Linked DNA regions of Oreochromis niloticus. The main gene of each other region encodes a partner of the protein of the gene in region 2 in a complex. Links are inferred from orthologs where the notes say so. Each region holds a gene or a part of one and is shown on either strand. Other genes may lie near its edges.

Region 1 (7,080 bases), on a different chromosome or scaffold from region 2:
GAGGAATAGTCTTTAGATTAAATTAGAATTGTGCTCATGCAAAAACAATGCCTAGTTAGAAACAACACTGCTGCCAGAGCGGCTTCTTAAGTGATTGAATTATAGACAGGCAAAAGCCACTGCCACCTGTCAGTGAAGACACAGCACCACAGGTGGCTTTACACACCAACACGGTCACAGTAGCGGCACACGTGTCGTGATCTCGCAGAGACATGCTAAGCTCCACATGAAGAGATCTACTAGGTTGCACACAAAGTCACACAGATCTCAAGTGATTGTGAGTTAATTTTGCATGTGACTCAGTAAAGCCTTTGAAAATAAAGTGTGTAAAATACCATGTGCAGGCAACATGTGAGCAAACTACACTATGGAAACATTTACAGCATGTTAACTGTTCAGGTTATGACCAGGGGGCACAATAACTGGCTCAGTGAGAGGAGAGCTGCAAGCAAGTTGGCAACAAAAGCCAGAGGCCTTTGGCCTGTGGGTGTTAAAATGTAAGCTAGGTCAGTTTTTCAGCATGGCACTCCAGTTATCTTCTCTTTCTCTCAGCACAAGCGTGGTGCTAATTGTACCCGTGAAGCCAGACCATGTGCAGCCAATGTGCAAACGCAAACAAAGTTCCATAACAAGCACTTAATAGCACCTCGGACACAGCAATCCGCTGTTTCTGCTTTCCATTCCCACTCATCCCTCGTTTTTATAAAAGCAGCAAGCGCTGCCCGTTTGTTATTGTTCATTCATATTTTATCAAGCCACTATTTATAACTATGTATGTTTGAGTTAGGGGCAATGTGAGAAGCACAATGACAGAGGAGAGGGAAATTTTATGGTTTTTTGAGGGTTTTTTTCCTGTGGTTTTGTCAAACTCATGAACTCAAGAGGGGAGTTCATTCTTATTACCAAAAACACTGTAGTTACTTGAGGGATAACCACAAATGAAAAGATGAACTGTCCAAACGCAGAGTTAAAATATGTTTGTATGTTTTCCTAACTTTTCTTAATCCTGGAAAAATCTGATGAGTATGCACAAACTTGCCCAGTATTGCTCTGCCTTTTAATTTTATGCATGCAGATGAGGTGAATAGTACAACGTCTGTCTTTTGCTGTTGGCATCTGAATAACTAGGACCTTCAGGGAACTCAGGTATTGCTCATGGGAATTCCTATGGCACAGAGTCACAAGCTCACATTCGTTTTTTTTTTTTTAGGGGGGGCATTTTACAGCTTTAAACCATTTACCTTTAAGGATGATAGTCCACTTCTCTAGCCTATAGGCAGATATATTGTTTTTAAGGTCATTATATACACACACTAATAACACACTATACAAAGTAAAGATAAAATATACAAACGCAAGTTTGGCTGCAGATAGACAACTACAAATTTTCATCCTAACACTTGTTATTTATCAATACTCATGTTTTAATCATTGTTAATGAAAATACAACTTTACTCCATACATATATACATAGACACAGATACACCACACAACTGATTGACTGTGTGAGTGTGTGTGTGTGTGTGTAACTGGTCCTAGCTCAAAATGCTAATTTGTGTGTGTGCCATAGGTATGGAGGCATTGGTACTACAGATCACAACGCATGATCCATTCAGGAACTTCATCTCAGTGTGACTTAGTTGTGTTGTGTGCCTAAGTTCAAAGGTCAAACTGATCATTGTGTCTCATTGTGCAAATTATTTTATGAATACGTATTACAGCAATCAAACTACTGTTTTAGGGAGAATTGTCTTAAGTAAGGGCAGTTAAGGAATGCTTACTCACTTATTATTTTGAATGCAGCAATTGCAAAGGGAAATCACAGCTGGTTAGCACTGTTATCATTTTTTTAACCACAACAACACACCCACAGATCACTTGAGTTGTCTCTGTGGAGTACGAAAAATCAGATAAGTGTCTCCTTACAAACTAACGTGTATTTGCACATCCTAGTAAAATGCCAAAAATCTTAAAATAACGTGTGACAGAAAGCGTGAGTTCCATGTGTACCTGCATGAAATAATATGGAAAGACAAGATAGCCACACCTAAACTGTTTGCCTACCTTTTTATTTGCACGATAGCTTGCTTGCTATTCCGGGAAGACATAAAAGTCTATTATCTAATCTTGTGGTGTGTATCTGTATTGACTGTATCGACCTTAGAAGCCCAGGAGGCATATATTTTTATATATCTTTATATATATATCTATATCTATAGATTTTTTTTTTTTTTAACACAAAAATGTTTTATGTTTAAAAGAGTATTGGTGGCTTCTTTCAACTGGAGGTCAAACAGCTCCCACATTATCATCTACTGTCTAGTAATAACGCATCCTGGTCAACTGTAATGCTAGCTTATTAGCATTTTGTCATCCTCTAACTGACCGATAGCAGGGCATGTGTACATCCGCGAAGCGACACCGGAGGAGCTCCGGTCAAATCCTTCCAGGCCCTTTCTTGGCGTTACAGCTACATAAACCCGGGTTTAATGATGAATACGTTTACCCTGAGTTCGTCTCTCTCAGCCTCCCAGCGGTATTTCTCGGCCTGGAAGCGTCCCCACTCGTACTGGATGAAGTGCAGGATCCCAGGAAGCGTCATCCCCGACTCCCCGTCTTGCGGCTCCCGTGACTGCTGCAACGGTCCAGAGACGGCCCCAGCGGCTGCTGCTGCGGCCGCTGCCATTGCCCCGGTCCCACCAGCTGATGTCGCCTGGCCCGGTCCTGCTTTAGGCCCGTTTGGGTTGCGCCCCGCTCCACTGCTGCCGCCGCCGCCGCCGCCTCCGGAGTTCGGGTTAGATCCTCCGCCGGTTCTGTCCGCCTCCATTTTAACTATTCAACCTTTCGCCAGGATAATGAGATGGGAACGGACAGAATGGACGAATAAAAATATAAAAAAGTACCCCGTGCCCTTTTCCAAACCCAGCTCCACTTCACTATAAGCTACCCTCCTTTCTTCCTTTCTCACACGCACAGAGAAAAATTACTATTCTGTTGGTAAAATAATACACTTCCGCTTCCAAACCTTCAGCGCAAAACACAATCTAACCGCAGTGTAACATCGTTGCCCCGTTGATTTTGTAACAAATCCCTTTTCACAAAAAGTGTTACGTCCAGTCTTAAAACTAACATCAAAATAAAGTAACAACAGACAGCGTTTATTAAATGTGATGCACCTGAAAATAAGCGTAAACTTTTTTTTCCTTTTTTTTTTGTTGCTCTTATTTTGTATATCCCGGATCCCAGATCAGTTTCCTCCTCGTGAAATGCCCAGTGCGGGTGACAAATAAAGGGCCATGTTTTCTATAATAGACAATGAATATGTCGCTAGGGGAATGAATTTCCTGCCATTTTGTGAGCAGGAATGGTTTCGGGAACGATAAAGTTAGCTACAATAATCAACAATGCTATTTCCGGTCGAGATTTTATCTTTGATTTTTTTGGGGGTGGGTGCGGGGGAATAAATTGTGAAATGAAAACAGCCATAGACCAAAAACAACAATAAAAAAGCCTTGGGGACACATTTGTAATATATAACAAGTTAACGTGAATTATAATTTTTCTTCATATCATCTTTATATTTATATTTTTTATATTGCTTATATCCTTATAACGTATGCAATAACATTTGTAGTTATATCTTATATTTTATATTATAGCAATATGTTTTTCTTCTTTTAAAACGTAAGAGATTAGGTATAGACGCCAGGTAACTGGGATAACTCTGAAGCGGTTATTGCGTAAAATATGTGCCTTTCATTAAATAGCTAAATTCATAGATTTTTCCAAATTTGGACAGAATAGCTTTATTCTGAAGGATTCCAACCGGAAGTTGTCCTGTTGCTGCGGGCAACAGCGTGATAGCTTCATGCTAAATTCGTGCAGCTGGGTTTCTTGTTTGGGATTGTGTTAAGCCTTGCGCTTTTGAAATATTCTTTTGACCATTAAGTGTGAGTTTCTTCCAAAAATATTGGAGACTATTTCTTCCACAGCCGTACAAATATGAGCTAAACTCAAGTTAATATCTGTGTTTGCCGCTGCCGATTCAACCTCGGTAGCTACTACGCTACCAGCTCCAAAAGATCATCATGAAATCCACATATAGCGAGCATAACGGGCATAATTGGCTTAACGTTGGTAAAGCCTCTGTTAACTTCTGAATGATATGATGGCCCTGCAAACGATTGTCTCATATGAAATAAAACAGATGCATTCAGATGAAGGTGAGTTGCTACTATCCTATTTTCATTCATTTCTAATGCAACTAGACATATTTTATTTATAAAAGAAAACCTGTCATGGGGCAGTCATGTCCTAATTCCACAAGAATGTGATTATGGCTTGGGTCATTCACTGACTACTTTGTTTAAATTAAATATCCTGTGTGCGAATTTTGATATACATATGCAGATCAATACATTATATTTACACGTAAGCCTGTGGTATTGGAACCAAAACGCAACATTTTTCTGTCATTTACAGGTTGCATGCGACTCTCTGTTACACTGATGGGGGTCCGAGACCAGCCACTGGATTTCTTGATTCAAACTTAAGTTATTCTCCTGAAATAAACTGCAAAGCAAATATTAGTTGCCATGCGGATCAGTTTCTGTCAAGGCTTGTTAACTGTCGCCATCATCCTCAACCTCCTCATTCTCTATTATGTGTCCCGAGCCCAGCAGCAAATGATGGAGAAGAGGAAAGAACTTGGCAGGGGCACAAGAAGGGCTGCCCTACCAGCCTCTGGTCTCGGGGGGTTACTTGCAGGAGCTGGAGGTGAGCCTGGAGTGGTTGGAGTGGAGGGACACAGTCGAGGCCCACGTGTAACTGTTCTTCTTCGGGAATTTGAACATTTTGAAAACTATGTCGGGGATGTTGCTAATTCCTTCCTTCACCAGAGGCCAGAGCTTCCCTTCCTGGCTGTAGCTGACACATCACCGTACCCTCCACTGGCGCTTCCGGAGGGTGCTCGGCTTCTTGTGCTGTCCCCCAGCCCAGACCAACCACCACAAGCTCACAGGCCTGAGTTTCATGTGCAAACAGAGTTTGTGCTGCTAGTGCCTGATGGAGTGGAGCTGGAGCAACCAAGGGCTATTGAGAGGTTAATCAGAGAGTTGGAAGGAGAGGGTGGAGGGCCTGTGAGGTTAGTAGCTGCGCCCGTATTGGCTCGATCTGCTGTGCAGTGTCTCCACTTGCGGGTGAACCTCAGAGAGTGGACAGCTATCTATTCAACAGCTGCATCAGGGAGCAGTGGGAGTGTATGTACAGCTTTACAGGGAGATGCAGTCGTACTCATTCGGACCGAGGATCTTTTTAACCTCTCTGTCCCTCTTGGACGGCCTCTCTTCTCCTCACTCTTCATCCAGACTTCTTTGAGAGGCTGGAAGGTCAAACTCCTGGAAGGCCCCTGTTTCTCTGCAAACCATCGGCCTCTCTTCAGCTCTGCTCACAACCAGTGGAAGGCTGACACTCGACTGAAGGAGGCCACGGGGAATCTAATGAGGAGCTTTGGTCTGAAGCGTCTTCTGCTGCCTGATGGGAGGGAACAGTGGTACGGCTGCAGCAAAGAGACACCACGCTGCTTTGGCACTGTGCAGGATGACACTCCAGACTATCTGTATCTGGACCGCTGGACACCTCCCTGCTGTCTGCGAGCACTCAGGGAAACCACCAAGTATGTTATCAATATCTTGGAGAGCTCAGGTGTGCGCTACTGGCTAGAGGGAGGTACTCTGTTGGGCGCCGTTCGCCATCAAGATATCATCCCATGGGACTATGATGTAGACCTTGGTATCTACCTGGAGGATGTACCCAACTGCGATCATTTAAAGAACCTGGACTCAGGCTCTCTGGTGGATGCTAATGGCTATGTGTGGGAGCGTGCGGTGGAAGGAGACTTCTACAGGGTCCAGTACAGTGAGGCTAACCACCTGCACGTTGACCTTTGGCCGTTCTATCCACGTAATGGCGTCATGACCAAAGATACGTGGACTGAACATAAACAAGATGTGGAGTTCCCAGAACACTTCCTGCAGCCACTGGTACCCATGCCTTTTGCTGGCATCACTGCCTATGGCCCTAACAACCACAGAGCCTTTTTGGAACTTAAATTTGGAGAGGGGGTGATTGAGAACCCCCAGTATCCCAACCCTGCAAAAAAGAGACTGGACAGAAGCAAATTATGAGTCATACCGGAGGGCTACAGACCCATTTAGGTTTACCTACATACAAAGAAAATCTTGCCTCAAATAATTTTCTGTGAAAGATATTGTCTGGAAAGTAAAGCCATTTTCACACATGCACTGCAGCCCTGAATGCTTTGAGACATTACCAAACTGAGATTCACGTGAGAGCACAAATGTCCGACACAGTCTTATCTGACCGTAAATGGTCGAGCACCTCGTGTCTGTGTGACATCCACATCTAATCGTCTCAACATTTTCTGGAGTTCATGTGTGAAAAAAGGTTTAATACGGTGCCAAAACGACTGCATTTACTGTTACCTTCACCACATGTGTATCAGAAGACGGTGTATTGCATGCTTAGATTGTTCTTCCTGTGGTTCGGATGTAAAGTCTAATGTTGAACACACGTTATTTATTTGCCTGAGCGGTAGCGTTTTGTTTGAAAGACACACTTGAAAAGTTTAAATCCATACACTAGTGTACTGACATAAGGCTGTGGTGTGTATGTGTTGTACAGAAACATTGAACTACTACTGCTGTAATTTAAAAAAAAAAAGGTAGATAATTGAAAAAAACGATTTTTTAAAATTAAAATGTATTTTATCTTAAGCAGGATTTAAGGTATTATACAGACTTGTGTGTGTTAAGTAAGTGGCTTTAGCCTAACAGGTATTTTCTGATTTTTGAACTCTGTTGCCTTGTTTTGCACGTCTCAGTTTATGAGTGAATGTTAGTTTGTGGTAGAGCCAGCTGGTAACTGCAGCTGAGCAGACTTCCATCTAATGAAATGAGAAGCACACCTGTGTCATTCATGCTGTTATGGACGATTGCTCTACCAGGCCTTAGAATTCAAATAAATAATTACATATTAATAAATACTATGAAAAGGAAATTT
Region 2 (7,873 bases):
TATTCATCATTAATAATTAAACAATGCATAAAATTCCTATGATTACTAGTTTTCTTAGTCAATAAAATAATTGTTTACAACATTAAGTGTAACCAAACAGCCTTAAAACTGTCAGTTCATTTTAAAATTGCTAAATTAAGACATGTATGAACCTGCAAAAATTTCCTAGATTACCTTTATGCAGAAGAATATACAAAAATTCAAGAAAAACAACCCAAACTGTTTAGCTTACACTGAAAATTGTGTGATCATGCAAGAGCCCACTCCTGAAAGTAAAAGTGATTGAGGCGACTTGTTTTCAAGGCCTTTAACACTTTCACTTAGGCTTAATTAGCCTTGATAAATTACTTAAATAGATGATATTACTGAGTCTCTTAGTCCCTCAGTCCTCCATTGGCATCCCTGAAACTGAAGTTAACTCCTCTGCCCAAACCGAAATGACATGTCTCTTTCTGTTTCTCTTTAATTCTCATGCCTCTCCTCTCTCTTCCTCGTCTGCTGCTACTCTTCCATTTCTCCTTACAATTACCCAGTCTCTCTCTTCCACTCCTTCATTTTCCCCCCTGTTCACTCTCGTTCACTCCTCTTCTCTTTGCCGCCAGCTGATAACCAAAATCGCCCCGGCTCCAAACTGAACTGGCACGGCTCCTGTGTTTGCACGCTCTACACCGCATCAGCGTGCAAACACTGGGCGCAGTGTCAAGGCTGAACGCCCCCTCTCCTACCAACATATGCCAACATGGACATGACCACTCCAGCCAGCAAAAAAGACAAACAGTTCACGTACACGACGGAGTCAGGTTTGAGGTTCCTGGTTCAACTGTAGAGGCCAGGGAACCTCATTCACTCACCCCCAACCCCCTATCCCACAATCCAACGACTGTAAGATGAATATGCTCTAATTCCCCCCAAAAACATTCAGCGTCCTCTTTCAAAGCACTCTGAATGGTTTCGGCTTCAACGCACTCTGAGTAACATCTCTTATGTATCTGGACCGAGTAACCCCACCAATGAAGCCCATCAGCTAGTAATTTTTTCATGAGGAGGATGAATTATAGCTGCCGAGCACTGAGGGAGCCTTAACAACAAGCCTCGCCAGCGTCATGTTTAGAAATAGCGGAGGAGATTACAGCTTACAGGTCCATATTACAGAAGGTGACTCCCATAAGCAGTCTACAGTGGCTCTAAACACTCTTTAAACCACAGAAAATATGCTTATACCCCAGACCTATGGGACCGCCTCAGTCTTTTTATCAAAAAAAGGATACTGCAATGATGTAAAAAAATTGATTTATTGGCTGATTCCAATATACACCCAGCAGTTCAAACACAAACTCATACTGGATTTGCAGGTACAAATTTTTAGACAGTAAAAAGGCTCTAATATCAACATATTAGTCAATATTCTATTTATATACACTTGCTAGCTACTTCAAGGATACCTGTTCAACAGCTTGTTTATGCAAATAACTAATCATCCAATTACGTGGCAACAAGTCAATACATTCAAGTCGGCCTGCGGAAGTTCAAACTGAGTATCAGAATAGTGAAGAAAGGTGATAATCAACTGGGATTTCTACTGGGATCAGCATCTTTGCTGCTGAAGCAGCAGAAGAGCACAATGGGTCCCACTCCTTTCGGTTAAGAACAGGAAACTGAGGGTACAATTTGCACAAGCTCCCTAAAATCAGGCAGAAGATTGAAAAAAAAAAACATTGCCTGGTTGGATGAGTCTCGATTTCTATTGCAACAGGGTTGATATTTGCTGCAAATGACATCAAAACATTGATCCACCCTGACTTGTAGCAATAACTCAGAAGGCAATTATAGTCTAATAGTCTAGGGAGATCATTTCTTGATGCAGTTTGAGTTAAAATACAATCTTATTTATATAAAACCCATTACAAATTGAAACTTTCTAACTCACAACGTTTAAGCTGACTACATATTTTCATCATTCATGAATCTCTTTTTAAAATATTTTTTTACAATAGATGTAAAAAAAAAAAAAATGATGTAAATGATAACAGCCTCCAGAGATAGCTAGAAGGCAGAGGAGGGCACCTGCTGGTGATATGCACGGGACTGGAAACAACTGTACATTTAGTGGGATTGTAGCATCCAGATTAGGTCTCTGAACCTTCCCAAGCATTCATATATATCCCAAACAACTCTATATTTGTGACAGGCCAGTATCAACTTATTATTGTGCCACCAGTATATCATTCATACTGTAGTTCAAACCTCAAAGATTTTAAATTTGCACATATTTTATTTTCTGGTAGCCACTTTTATTTCAGTTCCCAAGAAAGCGTACTAAACCAAATCCCTCCTCTCACAAAGATACCAAATAAAACCAATAAAGGCTCATCTGAGGGGCAGGCGGACTGCCAAAAACTGATCCGATTCTCTGATTGATTAAATGGAGGATGCACTCCAGATGCCAAAAGGACACCACGAGGACATAAATATGATATGCAGTTACGTTCGGTGGTCCTGGGAGCAGCAGTCACATTTCACCACCTGCAGTCCCCCACGCTGAGCACCGCTGTAGGATTACTGCTGGGTTATTTATAGGAGCCGCTGCCAAAATAACACCTCGCCGTCTGCCCGCATGCATGCAGGCATGCTCTCGAGCCAAGACGGCGACTCGCTGCATGGAAAGGACATTCAGCTGATCTGAAAGCTTCCCAGCAACGACACACACATTCACACACACGTACGCACACACAGCCGTCCAGTGCGCTCCTGTACCAGGAGCTGTGGGAGCCCGCTGTGCTGTACTTGGATTTACCTCTGACTCCTTCTGCTGATCCTTGAACACATCTTTCCCTTTCGGCCTCTGTCTGTCGCCGTTATCGTTAAGGTTATTAATGATAGGTACCTCCATGTCCTCCGTCTGCATCTTTCACGGTCGGCTCGGCTCACTTCCTCCTCATCCGCGGATAGTGCATACCGGTCCGGTGGACAGCTCAAGACTGCACCGCGTCAGGAGGGGGGGACCGACTCCGGAGAGCGAAGTTGAGGATCTCCTCCTCCTCCTCCTGCTGCTGTTGAGACTACCCCCCCCCCCCCCCCCCGATATGTTTGATTCGCTGTCCCTGCTCGCTCCGAGAGGGCGGAGTTAAAGAGAGGCGCATCAGCTGACCACATGGAGCCAAAACGATGTCAGTGTATTAAAGTGGAGGTTGAATGGCTCAAAGTATTAGAAGCACCTTCATCTTATAAAAATAACTGCTGCATCCCTGGGCGACCCTTTGCTGAGTTGCCACACAGTCTGCCGTCAGCTGTGATGTCACTGTCGAAGATCACTTCATATGTGTGCATCTTCATTTATCATTTCACCTCCTGTCACTTTCCCCTGTGAATTATTGATATGCGGCTGTGAGGGGATTGTCCTGCAGACTGAAACACACACAGCCCCCTGACTGTGGAAAAACCACTTAAGATGACATGATTGGAGTGAACAGTTCAGAGCAGGCTTGAGCCACATGGCTGGGGCCATGGGGGAGGTGAGAGAGTTCAAGGTTAAATAGTAATTTACTGGTGGTTAAATCCATCGCAGGCCAAGTGTAAAATCAGCAGACCCAACAAAGGAGCTGGTCTACAAAAACACAGTGATGTGAGGAACTCTCGAGCAAGGCAGAGGAGCAGCGGTAACTTGTCTAAATGTAACTCAAGTAGACTCACTTTCATAATGGTATGTGATTCCAGTTGATGGACGATTTCTTAGGAAGGCAAATTGGATTTATCAAAAACATTAACTGTTTAGTTTCATGGTAGCAGACTTATGACAAACTGCAAAGTACCTACAGACAGTGTTCACAAGGACAAGGTTTCCTATTTTCTGTTATAAATTCCAGACTAAAGTACAGGTTTGGTCCAAAAACTATCCCAATGGTATCATCAGGGTTCATTTCTCTTAAAGGTGGGTCAAGGCAGCTTCAAAAGGCCTGACTATAGACTGTATGTAAAAGATGGCAGACAACAGTGGCGGATCTATTCAGGATTTGTAGTCACATGACAGATGTAACATTAAGTTGTTCGTTGTAGGGTTATGTGAATAAGGCTCCAGTCAACAAACCTAGAGACCAGTTGGCAACTACTGGCTTTATATAGAATATAAAAATGTCTATTCTTTGGTTGGGAAATGGTTGGTTAAATAAATGTTAATAATGAGTCCTCATTGTGTATTACACTAGCATGAATGCAGTGTAGTAAGAAGCAGCAGTCAGTTTCAGAGCCACCCCTGTGAAATTAATGGTGTCAGTCTGGCTCCACCACCGTGCCCACTTCAGGCCACCCTCTCCCTCCACCTTAAGCACTACAGATTTGTCACAGTGACACTTCATATAAGAAACTAAGCTTATACATTACTGTTGTAGCACCCAAACCAAACCTCATTTTAAATGCTTCAAAAGAAACAAGCTGAAATAGAATGTAAATAGATTATAGTGTAACACACATACAATATGATTCTATTTAAAGTAATCTGCTCACATAAACTTGACTAATGTTTCTAGAATAAATAGAGGCTCAGAGCCAGCTCGGCTCGGCTGATGTCAGAGATGTCCCCGTCTGATTGCTGCTGGCTCAGATGAGCTCACTGTGGCTATGACAGACCTCAACAGCTGCACGTGTCTTCTTCCACGGCACATAAATACAACTAGAAACCAATCCACAATGACACAACACAGGCTGTGACATTAAAAAAAAAAACTCTCTATATGTGAACACACTGGGTGACTGTGTATTAAAAGTAGCAGAAATAAAGCAGCACACAAAGGAATAACTTTTTTCCCCATTTTTTTTTATTCATTCAGATTACAGAATTTTGTCATTATTGCTTATCATCTAACATTATCACTTGCAATATTTAAACATAGGGTTTATCTTTTCTTTATTAGACAACTTAAAACATGTTGAATTTTTGTCAGTTTGAACAGTATGAGGATTTACAACAATAAATACAGGTGTCGATTCTTCTTTTACCTTCCTATACTTTTAAAGGTTGTCATATCTGCATATAGTATGTATATACATCTATGATGCTGGTGTCTTCCCCCGCCTACCCGGTCAGCAGAGCGCTGACGGAAAAACAAAACGGTTTCTCCACCCCTAACGCACAGGCTAGGATCCTGAGGCAGCTGGTAACAAAGCAACTATGGCCTACAAAACAGAAAGGATGCTTACAAATACAGAGAGACTTTTAGATGTGCACCGTCGTCGTCATCTCGCTCGTTCACACGCGCGCACAAAAGGAAGAAAAAAGAGACTTAAGACAAAAGGTTTAAGTACTACAGACAAGCAGTCAACAACATGAAGAGACGGATGAAAGGGACTCAGTATAGAAGTTTGACTAAAGGGTTCCCATATTGTTCTTATTTTTGCCTAAAACAAAAAAGGAACAGAGTTTTATTTATTTATTTGACCAAAATTTCAATAGATGCATGAAACCTTGTCAAATAGGTTGTACGAGCCCTCTCAGGAACCCTTCAAAATAAAATGCTGAACTACTTGATTAAACTGACCTGCAAAAGCATACTTGGACTTTTAGAGAGCAGACTAACTTATTCAACTGGTAAACAAAGTTTTTTTTGTGCCACTTCCACCTTTTCAAAAAATAAAACTTTTAATGTTACCTTTCATATCTTGTACGATACAGTAAACTTTCAGACTTGGGTAATGAGCCACTCTGTGTGCGTTTGAGCCTAGTGTGTGAAAGCAGAGCTGGCGGCGTCTCGCAGCACGTCAGAAGAGATTGTGATCGGTTCAGGTGCAGAGCCAGAGCCGGTGTGGCGGCGGGGTACACTTCAGGTGAAATCACTGTCAGGGCTTTTCTAATTTCAAATGTCAGCTCAGCTGGGGACGAGCTGCAGAGGATGGCGACCGTGCAGCTCATTACAGCCGTAAGAAAGACAGACAAAGAAAGAAAGCGCCTTCCGGGTGGGAGAAAAGGCGGAAATGGACCTGAAAGGCTAGTGCACGTCAGAGATGTCGTGTGCGTGCCGTCTTTCATTTGTAAGCTCAACTCATCTGTGAGTACCAAAGAGTTGTGTCATCTGATTATGGCAAATACAGTAATTCTTAACAGCACCATGTATTTTACTGAGGACCTGACAGAAGAAATCTGCTTAATGGGACAGCTCACCTCACAGTCATTTATTAAATAGATTTTCCTGGCATTTAGTGTTATTTTATCCACAATGTACACTGCACAGACAGAGATGTATGCTGTAGAGGCGTCTGCCTTCTCTTAAATATAATGGAAGTGGGGTTTCGCTTAAAGCTGTAACTCAGAAATACTGTTGGCCTCCTAGTAGATGCAACTATGGTATCAAGTTAAAAATCATACATCGTTTCATTCTCTCGCATTCACAAACCTGGGTGTCTACACCGCCCACCCAGCAGGGTGTGGGTAAAAATCTCATCTTGTTGTTGGTGGTTTCATGTAGGAACTATTTTATTTCTTCTATCTACATCTGCCAAACAAACAGCTCAGGGGACAGGGGGACACCCATTAGTGTTCACACCCGGTCACAAGAATGAGCGTTATGAGTGAGAGGGTGGTTTTAATTCAGCAGGAAGGAAACAGTTCCTACATGAAGCTGCTCACAATATTTGGGTGGGGTTTTGTTCCTTTATCTTGAATAGCCGGAGCATAATTTTGCGAAAGTGACACTGCTACCTAGTTTCAAATCGATTTTTTTAATGCGCCAAGAACCAGAAGAGAAGGTAATGCTTTTTAGTTCCATGACGTTCAAGAGAAGGCAGATCCAAACAAAGCTACAACCTACATTTGAAAGAAAACAAACAAACAAACAAACTACATTTGATTTTTGAGGTGAGCTGCTCCCTTAAGTACCAGGGTGGCTGCGTGTTTGGTATTTCTGTAAATATTTTCTCACAGTATTTAAAACGAGAGTTCGAGTATATTTATTACACGCATCATTAGAACATTATACTGCAATGATATTAGAGGAGAGGAAATAAACGAAAGATAGAAAAATCTTTTCTGTATAAACATCTAAATATACAGTATACCCTCGTGATGATCCAAAAGCCTGCCATGCTTCTACTACAGTATTCTTGTTTAAGTGAAGGACCAAATAAAAATACTTTTCATTACTTCAACACTGGCGTCGCTAGAGCAGGTGAGAAAGAAGAGCAGCGAATGAGATGGTTTCACTGTGGGTTTGAGTGACAGGTGTTTGGGTGAGGGGGTGGCGGTGGTCACCCTCCAGTCATGTTTTAAAAAACAAAGAAAGAAAAACTACAGGGTGACCCGTAGCGACATAAGAGCGTAATAAGAAAAAAAGCTTAAAAACAGACAATTCGCAATCAAATAAAACGATATGATTGGACCCTGAGACCCCCGCCTAAACCCTCAGTCTAGCCCCACCCGTCCCACCCCAATAATACACAAAAAAGAGAAGAAAAAAAATCACAAGTAGAAAAGAAAAGACGACAAAAATAAGGGACAGGAAAAATTGTCCGACACAAAATAAATCTTCAAAGGTGGTCTTCATTCACACAGTTTTTTTTTTGTTTGTTTTTTGAATCAAATTTTTTTTTTAATATAGTATATATCTTTAGCTTCAGTAATTTCATATTTAACAGATAAACGATAAAAGATCTGGCAACGTGGAAGGGAGGATGGAGGGTTTACATACGACTCGACATACAAATGAGCGTCTGAAGAGGACCGGGTGGAAATGATTAAAAATGACGAGTGAGAGGGAGACGAGGTTTGGGAGCTAGCTCGAGGTGAATGGCAGGAGCAGCTCCGAGGTGTAGTTAATGTTATTATTGTTATTATTACTGTTATCAGGCAGGGGATAAATAAAACGACTGCCATAAGCAGGGAAAGCCA
Region 3 (7,474 bases), on a different chromosome or scaffold from region 2:
ACTCACCCGCTCGTTCATCCGAGACGACTGAGAGCGGAGGTCCGAGAAGTCGATGGCCGTGTCAGGAAGAGGCACCATACCTGAACACACAGTCACAAAAGACATTTGTTTGGATGTTTCCACCCAGAACCCACAGTGTGTGTTTTCCTTTTTCTGTCCTCGACAGAGTGCGTTTTCCCTACTCTCGTTTTGTTTATTTATATTTCTTCCACAATAGTCGAGTGGTGCACCTAAAATTTCACTGTATACATATAATGACAATAAAGAGCTATTCTATTCTAATTATGGACTTCTTTTTGTTGCAGTCAACCTTAGCGTACCTCTTTGATTCCTAGGGCAACTTTGTGTACTAAGTAGAGATGCACAGATAGATGCACAAGGGCCAAACACATGTATGTGCTGATATTATCAGTTGTTTCAAATGGCTTTAGTTATTGTGCTTAATCCTGACTTAAAAAGATGGACTAGCAGTGAAAAGTTGACCCTATGTTTTTGTGAGCTGAATGGAGAAAGAAATTATGATGAAGAGCTGAAAAACTTTCAAAGAGCAAAGTTAGTAGTTTATAAAACGATATCTGCATTACCCTGAAACAAAGGGAGACTGCTACCAGCCCTGAATGTCTCTAGTGCAAAGCTAAAAAGCAACACTGGGCGAAACCAAAGCTTTCCTTTTTTAAAAAAAACCCCAAAACTTAAGCTTAAAGAAGTCATCTTGCAACAAGCGCCCACATTTGAATCTGGATTTTATCTGCCTTGCTGTCCACATCTTTAGCACCACTCACAATTTCCAGGATTGTAAAACTGATCTAGATGTTTTCCTGGACATGTGCAACCTTGGCTGGTTGAGATCTGAATAGTAAAAGACAAACAGAGTAATATAGCGTACGCAGTTAAGTGCCAGGAGGATTGCCATGATTTATACATCGGGGAAACCAAACAACCTCTGGTGAAGTGGATGGCACAACACAGAAGAGCTACCTCGTCAGGCCAGGACTCTGCAGTCTATTTACACCTACAGGCCAGTGGACACTCTTTCAATGATGAGGATGTACACATCCTGGACAGGGAGGAACGCTGGTTTGAGCGCGGAGTCAAGGAGGCCATTTACGTGACAAAGGGAAAGACCATCTCTGTATCGAGGAGGGGGGCCTAAGGGTACATAATTCGCCATTTTACAATGTTGTGATTGCAGCCATTCCCCAACATTCCCCCCTGTGAATGGCCATTGATTAGTGGTCTTTGATGAATGGTAATGAGAAATGGTATATACAGTTGTCCCTCGTTTATCGCAGGAGTTACGGTCTAAAACTAACCTGCCATAGGTGAAATCCGCAAAGTAGCCAACTTTATTTTTTACAGTTATTATAGATGTTTTAAGGCTGTAAAACCCCTCACGACACACTTTATACACTTTTCTCAGACAGGCATGAACATTTTCACACTTTTCTCTCTTGTTTAAACACTCTCAAAGTTCAAACCTTCTAGAAAAATAAGTCCAGTATTATCGAATGAAACCAAAGGCACCTGCAGATGACGATGTTTCGTCGACATTCTTGTGTTTGTTGGGGAGAAAACTTACAAACATACAGTACAGCACTTCAGAGTCACACGGCTAGCGATCGAAGATTTATGTAAATTTGACAAGCTGAACGCATTCTGAACTGTACAGGAGACATGGCACGGAAGAGATTGACTGACAATGGTCTACAGCCAATCAGGACACAGAACACAATGCGCTGTAAAAACAACAACAAAAAAAACATAAAAACAGCGAGAAACAGCGAGGTTGCGAAAGGTGAACCGTGTTATAGCGAGGGACCACTGTAATGATCAAGGAACTGACCTCCGAGTCCATTGTTCCTTCAGTGGTGAGCAAATGTACTGTTTATAAAATTGGGGAAACCTTCAGTCAGCTGAGACTGAAGAAGTTGCTTGGATGAGTGACGAAACATTTTTCCCCCTGAAAACGCTACGTCCAGATGAACAGAATCAACTTTTTGGTGTGTAAAAGACTTTAACTTTATGAAAGCTAAATCTGACACACTGTGTGTGTGTGTGTGTGTGTGTGTGTGATTTTACTGACCAGGATCTGAGAAGACAGCTTTGGAGTGGCAGGCAAGCAGCAGCAGCAGAATGAGGTTGAACACTGACCCGTGGAGAGTACACCACACACTGTCAGAGACACAGAAGAGACATGCGATTATTACACTTCCTCATTTAATCTTCTTAGGAGAATTTTATTTTATTTTATTTAGATAACGCCAATTCACTACAGCAGTCACCTCTGGGTGCTTTATGCTTAAGGTAAAGACCCTACAGCAGTACAATGATAAAAGTCATCAGAGCTTCAGTGAGTCCACGGTACATTTAAATATCCTATAAATGAAGTTCATGATCACAAAAGACAAAGAAAAGCTGATATTTTTTGCATTAAACTACAACTTAACTGAGCATAAGTTTCTCTGAAGGGGCTGGATGACTGCTCTGTAACTTTGACAACTTTACAATTTTAATAAAATACGTTTTACAGCAGAAATATTAGTCCTCATAAATGTCTCCTTTGCTTCTAAATAGTCCTGGTTACATCCAATTTCATATAAAACTGTACAAAAATAAGCACAAAGCACTACATTTGACTGAAAATAAGAGTAAAAATAAATAAACACATACACAAACAATTTTGTGACGCTAACCTTTAAAATATTTGGGTGAAAATTGAGGAAGTGAGCCCATCTCAGCTCAGGAACGTCTGAATTTGACATGAAGACTTGGTTAACGGAGTTTTGAATTTAGGACGAATTAAAGAGCAACACTCGTTGGTTTAGGAAAAGCTGTGATTCTGGTTCTAAAGAGGATTTTTAATCTCAGACAGGCAGAACAACTTTAAATTACCCAAAATTTTGAACGACAGCTGGACTCGTCAGCTCCAGAGCAGGCTAATGAAACGCCTCAGCTACGAAAACAAACTGAAAGCCACCTGTGATGGAGCGCGAGCCCGGTAACAAAAACCGCCAAAGACGTGAACGGGAACGCGATTAAAGCCACATTACAGTGAGAACAAACGAGATTTGATTCAGTTTGACTGAGCTGAGGATGAAATCGTGAGGATGCCGTTACTGTTGATCTGTTTGCTGTCAAATGAATGAAGGCAGAGCAGAGAGGCGGGCGACATGTTGAAGGATTTTTTACGGATTTAAAATGCGCGAAAATACAAAACACCCACCTGTCCGAGTACGCGGGGATGAGCACGTACTGTATGACCACATAGTCCGCATAAAACACGCTGAAGTAAGTTAAAATCAGGCAGATAACGCCGCAGGGATCTCGCCTACAGCGAAGAAACGCCATCTTCTCCCGGGCTCCACCCCCCGTCCCCCGCTTCCGGGTGACGTCAGATGGAAACTTCAAGCCGCCTTCCAGGACCGTCGAGAAAAGGAGATTCATGTTTAAAGGGCCAGTTTATCTTGTTTTTCTTTGTCTTCAAAAGAGATTAAATAACATTTGACTCAACAAATAACTCTTTTGCTCTGTTGTTCCTTTATTGATACACTTAAGCAGGAGAGCCTTCAGTTTTCAGACCTCTCTTCTGTGGAACCAGCTTCCAGTTTGGATTCAGGAGACAGACACTATCTCTACTTTTAAGATTTGACTTAAAACTTTCCAAGCATGGCTAACTCCCAGGTATTAATCCCAGGGTTGTGGATTCAAGCCCCACGTTAGGCACTCCTGTTACATATTTTTACTTAGTAAATATTAGCGTTTTAGCATTAGCATTTTAATAATACACTATATAGTTTTATATAGTATAAAAGGGTTTTAATAAACCATATAGTTAGGGTTGGATCAGTTGACCCTGAATATTCCCTTAGTTACTCTGCAATAGGTCTGTGTTGCTGTGGGATTCCCACGATGCACTGTTTCTTCTTCAGGCACCTTTTTTCACACACTGTATATTTAAACATTTGTTGATATGAATCTCTGGCTCTCTTCCACTAACCCTTAACAAGCTGCATCAGAAGACCGCCCCTCCCTGAGTCTTGTTCTGCCCGAGGTTCCTTCCTGTTAAAAGGGAGTTTTTCCTTCCCACTGTTTCAAAGCATCTACTAATGGGGGTCATCTGATCATGGGGATTTCTTTTTAAATCTTACCCTTCAGTCTAAAGACCTCAAAGTGCCTCCTGTTCTAAATCGGTGCTATATAAATAAAATTAAATCGACCTGAACCGAGGTATCTAATGAAGTGGCCGGTAAGTGTGGGCAGCTGTCAATTCGAAGCAGATTTGGACTTACACCTGAAGGCAGCATGAACCACAGACAGGAACAGTTATGATCAGCAGGTGGCAGTAGAGGTGTATGCGAAGCTGATATTCACACACCGTCGCTCCTCCCTTGAAGGAGGCAGAAACCTGCGCGTCATCCTCTCCGTCCACTTCTTCTTCTGTGCTCACTCTGTCACTGTGTGTTTGTAGTTTGTTCACTTCAGCCGCCTGCAAGTTAAACCGCCGTTCCCCTCGGATACAGTTCTTTCACTTCGAAGTCAAAACTGTCTACTTATTTCTCTTTCGAGAGCTTTGTTGTATTGTGAAGAAGCTCGACGAGGATTTTTAAAAATATATATATATAAAGAAGAAGGCAGGAGTCAAAGAAGGAGGAGGATAAAAAGTGACAAACCTGGAGGAGGAACAGGGCGTTCATACTTCGAAGTAACCATGGAAGTTCCTGGTATGCAGGTAAGGAGGAAGGTGGACGTGCTGCTGCTGTTGCTGCTCTTCTCTGGGTTTTTAATCGTCTTCATAGGGAAAACTGGAGCTGGTTTTTATGAGAAGTGGAGGGGAGATTGTGCAACTGCTTCATGTTTCCTTTCTTTGTAAGAGTGATTACCTGTTGTGTATTTGAGCCATAGAAACACACTAACATACAGCACTGTGTATTCAAATAAACAGACATAGGTCTCCACACCCAGTAAAAAAACATTAGGGAACAGTGACTTCTCAGATCTTGTCTAGCTGTGGAAAATGAGTTTATGGTGAAAATCTCACATAGTGTTATCATATTACTGCACATCATATTACTAATGATGTGCATTTCTACCTGATTATTCGACCTATAATGTACATGTGCTGACTCATTAAGTGATGTAGCTTCTCCAGATTGTGGCTGTGAAATGAAGCTACACTTGTGTAAAATGTGGCTTTGGTTCCTTAAATTGAGCTAGCTTTTATTTTATGATGTTTAAATCCCTTACATTTGGGTGTTATATTTACATAGTTGCTCAATACCTTGCTCAATCAACCTTAGGGTGTTTATATCTATAGTAAGTGTAATTCCAATACTTCTGTAGCAGCTTATATCATAACTTCTCAAAGTTTAGTTTACAGGGCCTTTATATCTTGATGTGACCTATAGTGTGGATTTAATGACCTATAAAGTTATTTAGCTTATTGAAATTGTGAGGTTGTGGTATTTTTTTTTTTTTTTATCATTTAAAGTGTACTCATAATGGAACTCTGAGGCCATAAACTGAGTTTCTTTTTATTTTATGCTGTTTAAATCCCTTTAAAGTTGGGTATTTGCTTAATAATGTGACTAAACTTCTCCAAGTCGACTTCATTGTAACCTTAGGTTGTTTATATCTATAAAGAGTATAACTATAATACTTCTATACTAGCTTATATTGTGACTTTGGTGCTCTAAGTTTAGTCTAAATTTTGAATTGAAGCTGTTTATGTTGCATCAAGTGCCCCTACAATACACATTTATAGCGAGTTTAAGCTTATTTTAGAGTGTTTAAATCTTTTAAATGCAACTGTAATCTTCATAGAAAGATTTATAAACTGACTCGGCTTCTATAAAAATAAGCTTACAGTAACTTCTTAGGATGTTTTTGTGACTTCAAGGGTAACTGTAATACTTGCATACAAGCTTGTACACTTAGTTTAGAGTGACCTTATCTCTTAATGTGACCTATAATGTGTGCATGATGATTTATAAGGTGAGCTTTGTGAAATAGCGAATTTGTCGTGTTTATACAATTTAAAGTGTACCCATGATGTCTCTCTGGTTCCCTAAAACTAGTTTGATTTTATTTCATGGTGTTCACATCTCTTAATGTGAACTAATATATATCGATATTATCTCATTATTGAGTTTACTGTATGTTCAAGGTGGTTATAGCTGTAAAAGTGTGACTACAGTGTTTCTGTAGTGGCTTATATTTTGGCTTTGTTGCTTCATATTTAGTTTACAGTGTCTTGTAATGTGTCACGATGGCTTGTGTTGTGACTTTGTTTTACCAACCCGAGCTGAAGTGTGACTCTGTGGTTTACATACCGTCTGATATATACATGCGATGAATTACAGTGTGACTCTGCTGCTCTAAAAATGAGTTTATTTAACTCTCTTGTGTATTTAAGACTTAAGACTTCTAAAAAATCCAGTTATTGTGACTTAATGTGCTGCTTGTAATCCAGGCACACTTTATGATAACAAAATGTATCTGCCTCTTATCACATCCATATATTTAGTTATCATCAGTCTGATATCGCAGACTCACATTACATTGACCTTAATTCTCCTGAACCTGACTTATTTTCTGATTATATCAGTTTTGTGTTTATGTAATGTTTCCATAGTGACACATTTTATAGGCCTCTGTCTTTATCTCCTCAATGATGTGAGCTATGCGTAACCCAAAGGTGTGTCTATCCTTCATGATTTCCCGTAACACTCCATGTGTTAATGACCTATTCTGTATCTGTTGCTCGGCAGCATTGGTTGATATCTTTTATAGGACATCCATTACCTTTAGTCTAGTCTAAAATCTACTCCGGGATCATGCTTTCCGTTGGAAGTCGTATTGGAGGAAACTCTGCAGGTATGCCAGACTTGTGCCAGTAAGAAACAAAAGGTGTGTAACATGAATTAGAAGCGTGTAAAAGCCTCCAACCTGTTGCTCAGCCGGCTTTCAGGTGTGTCTACCTGTGGGACTGGCTCGCCGTGTCTGCTCTGTGCATCCCAGGTGGGCGGGGCCACAAATGGTGTCACAGGCTGCTTACATCAACACACCTGACGCCCGGCACCGGCTGCCGCAGCATCGAGGCAAACAGCGAGGTTTGCTGCCAGTAAGAGCAATGATGCATAGTGGAAAGTGCTGTGCAAGACTGGAGCTACCTGATCAGTGGATTAGGTGACAGGAAATGTATTAGTTGTTGGGTAGTTATTCTTTTAAGCATAAATATCAGTTATGGTGGGTTTCAGATCACTTTTAAAAATACAATATTATATATTTGCTTATGTGGCTGGAAATCTTTTTAAGCAGATGATAGCCAGTGGGGCCCAAGAGTATGTATTGTTGGCCTAAATCTATAAGTAACTTTGCCACTTTGGTCTCTGGTAGCTTAAAGGTGATATAAATATTTTTTATATTATGGAAGAATTGAATCGCTAAGTGCGTTAAAAGGGTGCTAGTTATATTA

Evidence for each region.
Region 1: strip2 (region 2) and strn4 share a complex: the UniProt entries of both Homo sapiens proteins name them as parts of the core of STRIPAK complex. The link is inferred for Oreochromis niloticus from reciprocal best matches to the Homo sapiens genes STRIP2 and STRN4.
Region 3: strip2 (region 2) and serine/threonine-protein kinase 26 share a complex: the UniProt entries of both Homo sapiens proteins name them as parts of the core of STRIPAK complex. The link is inferred for Oreochromis niloticus from reciprocal best matches to the Homo sapiens genes STRIP2 and STK26.

What each region holds. Positions count from the first base shown.
Region 1 is NC_031979.2:21,854,383-21,861,462, forward strand, and holds the start of strn4 (striatin-4), read right to left. Parts: upstream 3,176-7,080; 5' UTR 2,828-3,175; coding exon 2,507-2,827; intron 1-2,506. Other genes in the region: ribitol 5-phosphate transferase FKRP, read left to right, coding at 4,596-6,185. UniProt on the Homo sapiens protein: Calmodulin-binding scaffolding protein which is the center of the striatin-interacting phosphatase and kinase (STRIPAK) complexes.
Region 2 is NC_031981.2:6,725,162-6,733,034, reverse strand, and holds the start of strip2 (striatin-interacting protein 1 homolog), read right to left. Parts: upstream 3,065-7,873; 5' UTR 2,906-3,064; coding exon 2,795-2,905; intron 1-2,794. UniProt on the Homo sapiens protein: Plays a role in the regulation of cell morphology and cytoskeletal organization. Required in the control of cell shape. Calmodulin-binding scaffolding protein which is the center of the striatin-interacting phosphatase and kinase (STRIPAK) complexes.
Region 3 is NC_031967.2:37,422,209-37,429,682, forward strand, and holds the start of serine/threonine-protein kinase 26, read left to right. Parts: upstream 1-4,423; 5' UTR 4,424-4,708; coding exon 4,709-4,729; intron 4,730-7,474. Other genes in the region: zgc:77880 (palmitoyltransferase ZDHHC3), read right to left, coding at 7-80, 2,084-2,172, 3,224-3,444. UniProt on the Homo sapiens protein: Serine/threonine-protein kinase that acts as a mediator of cell growth. Modulates apoptosis. In association with STK24 negatively regulates Golgi reorientation in polarized cell migration upon RHO activation.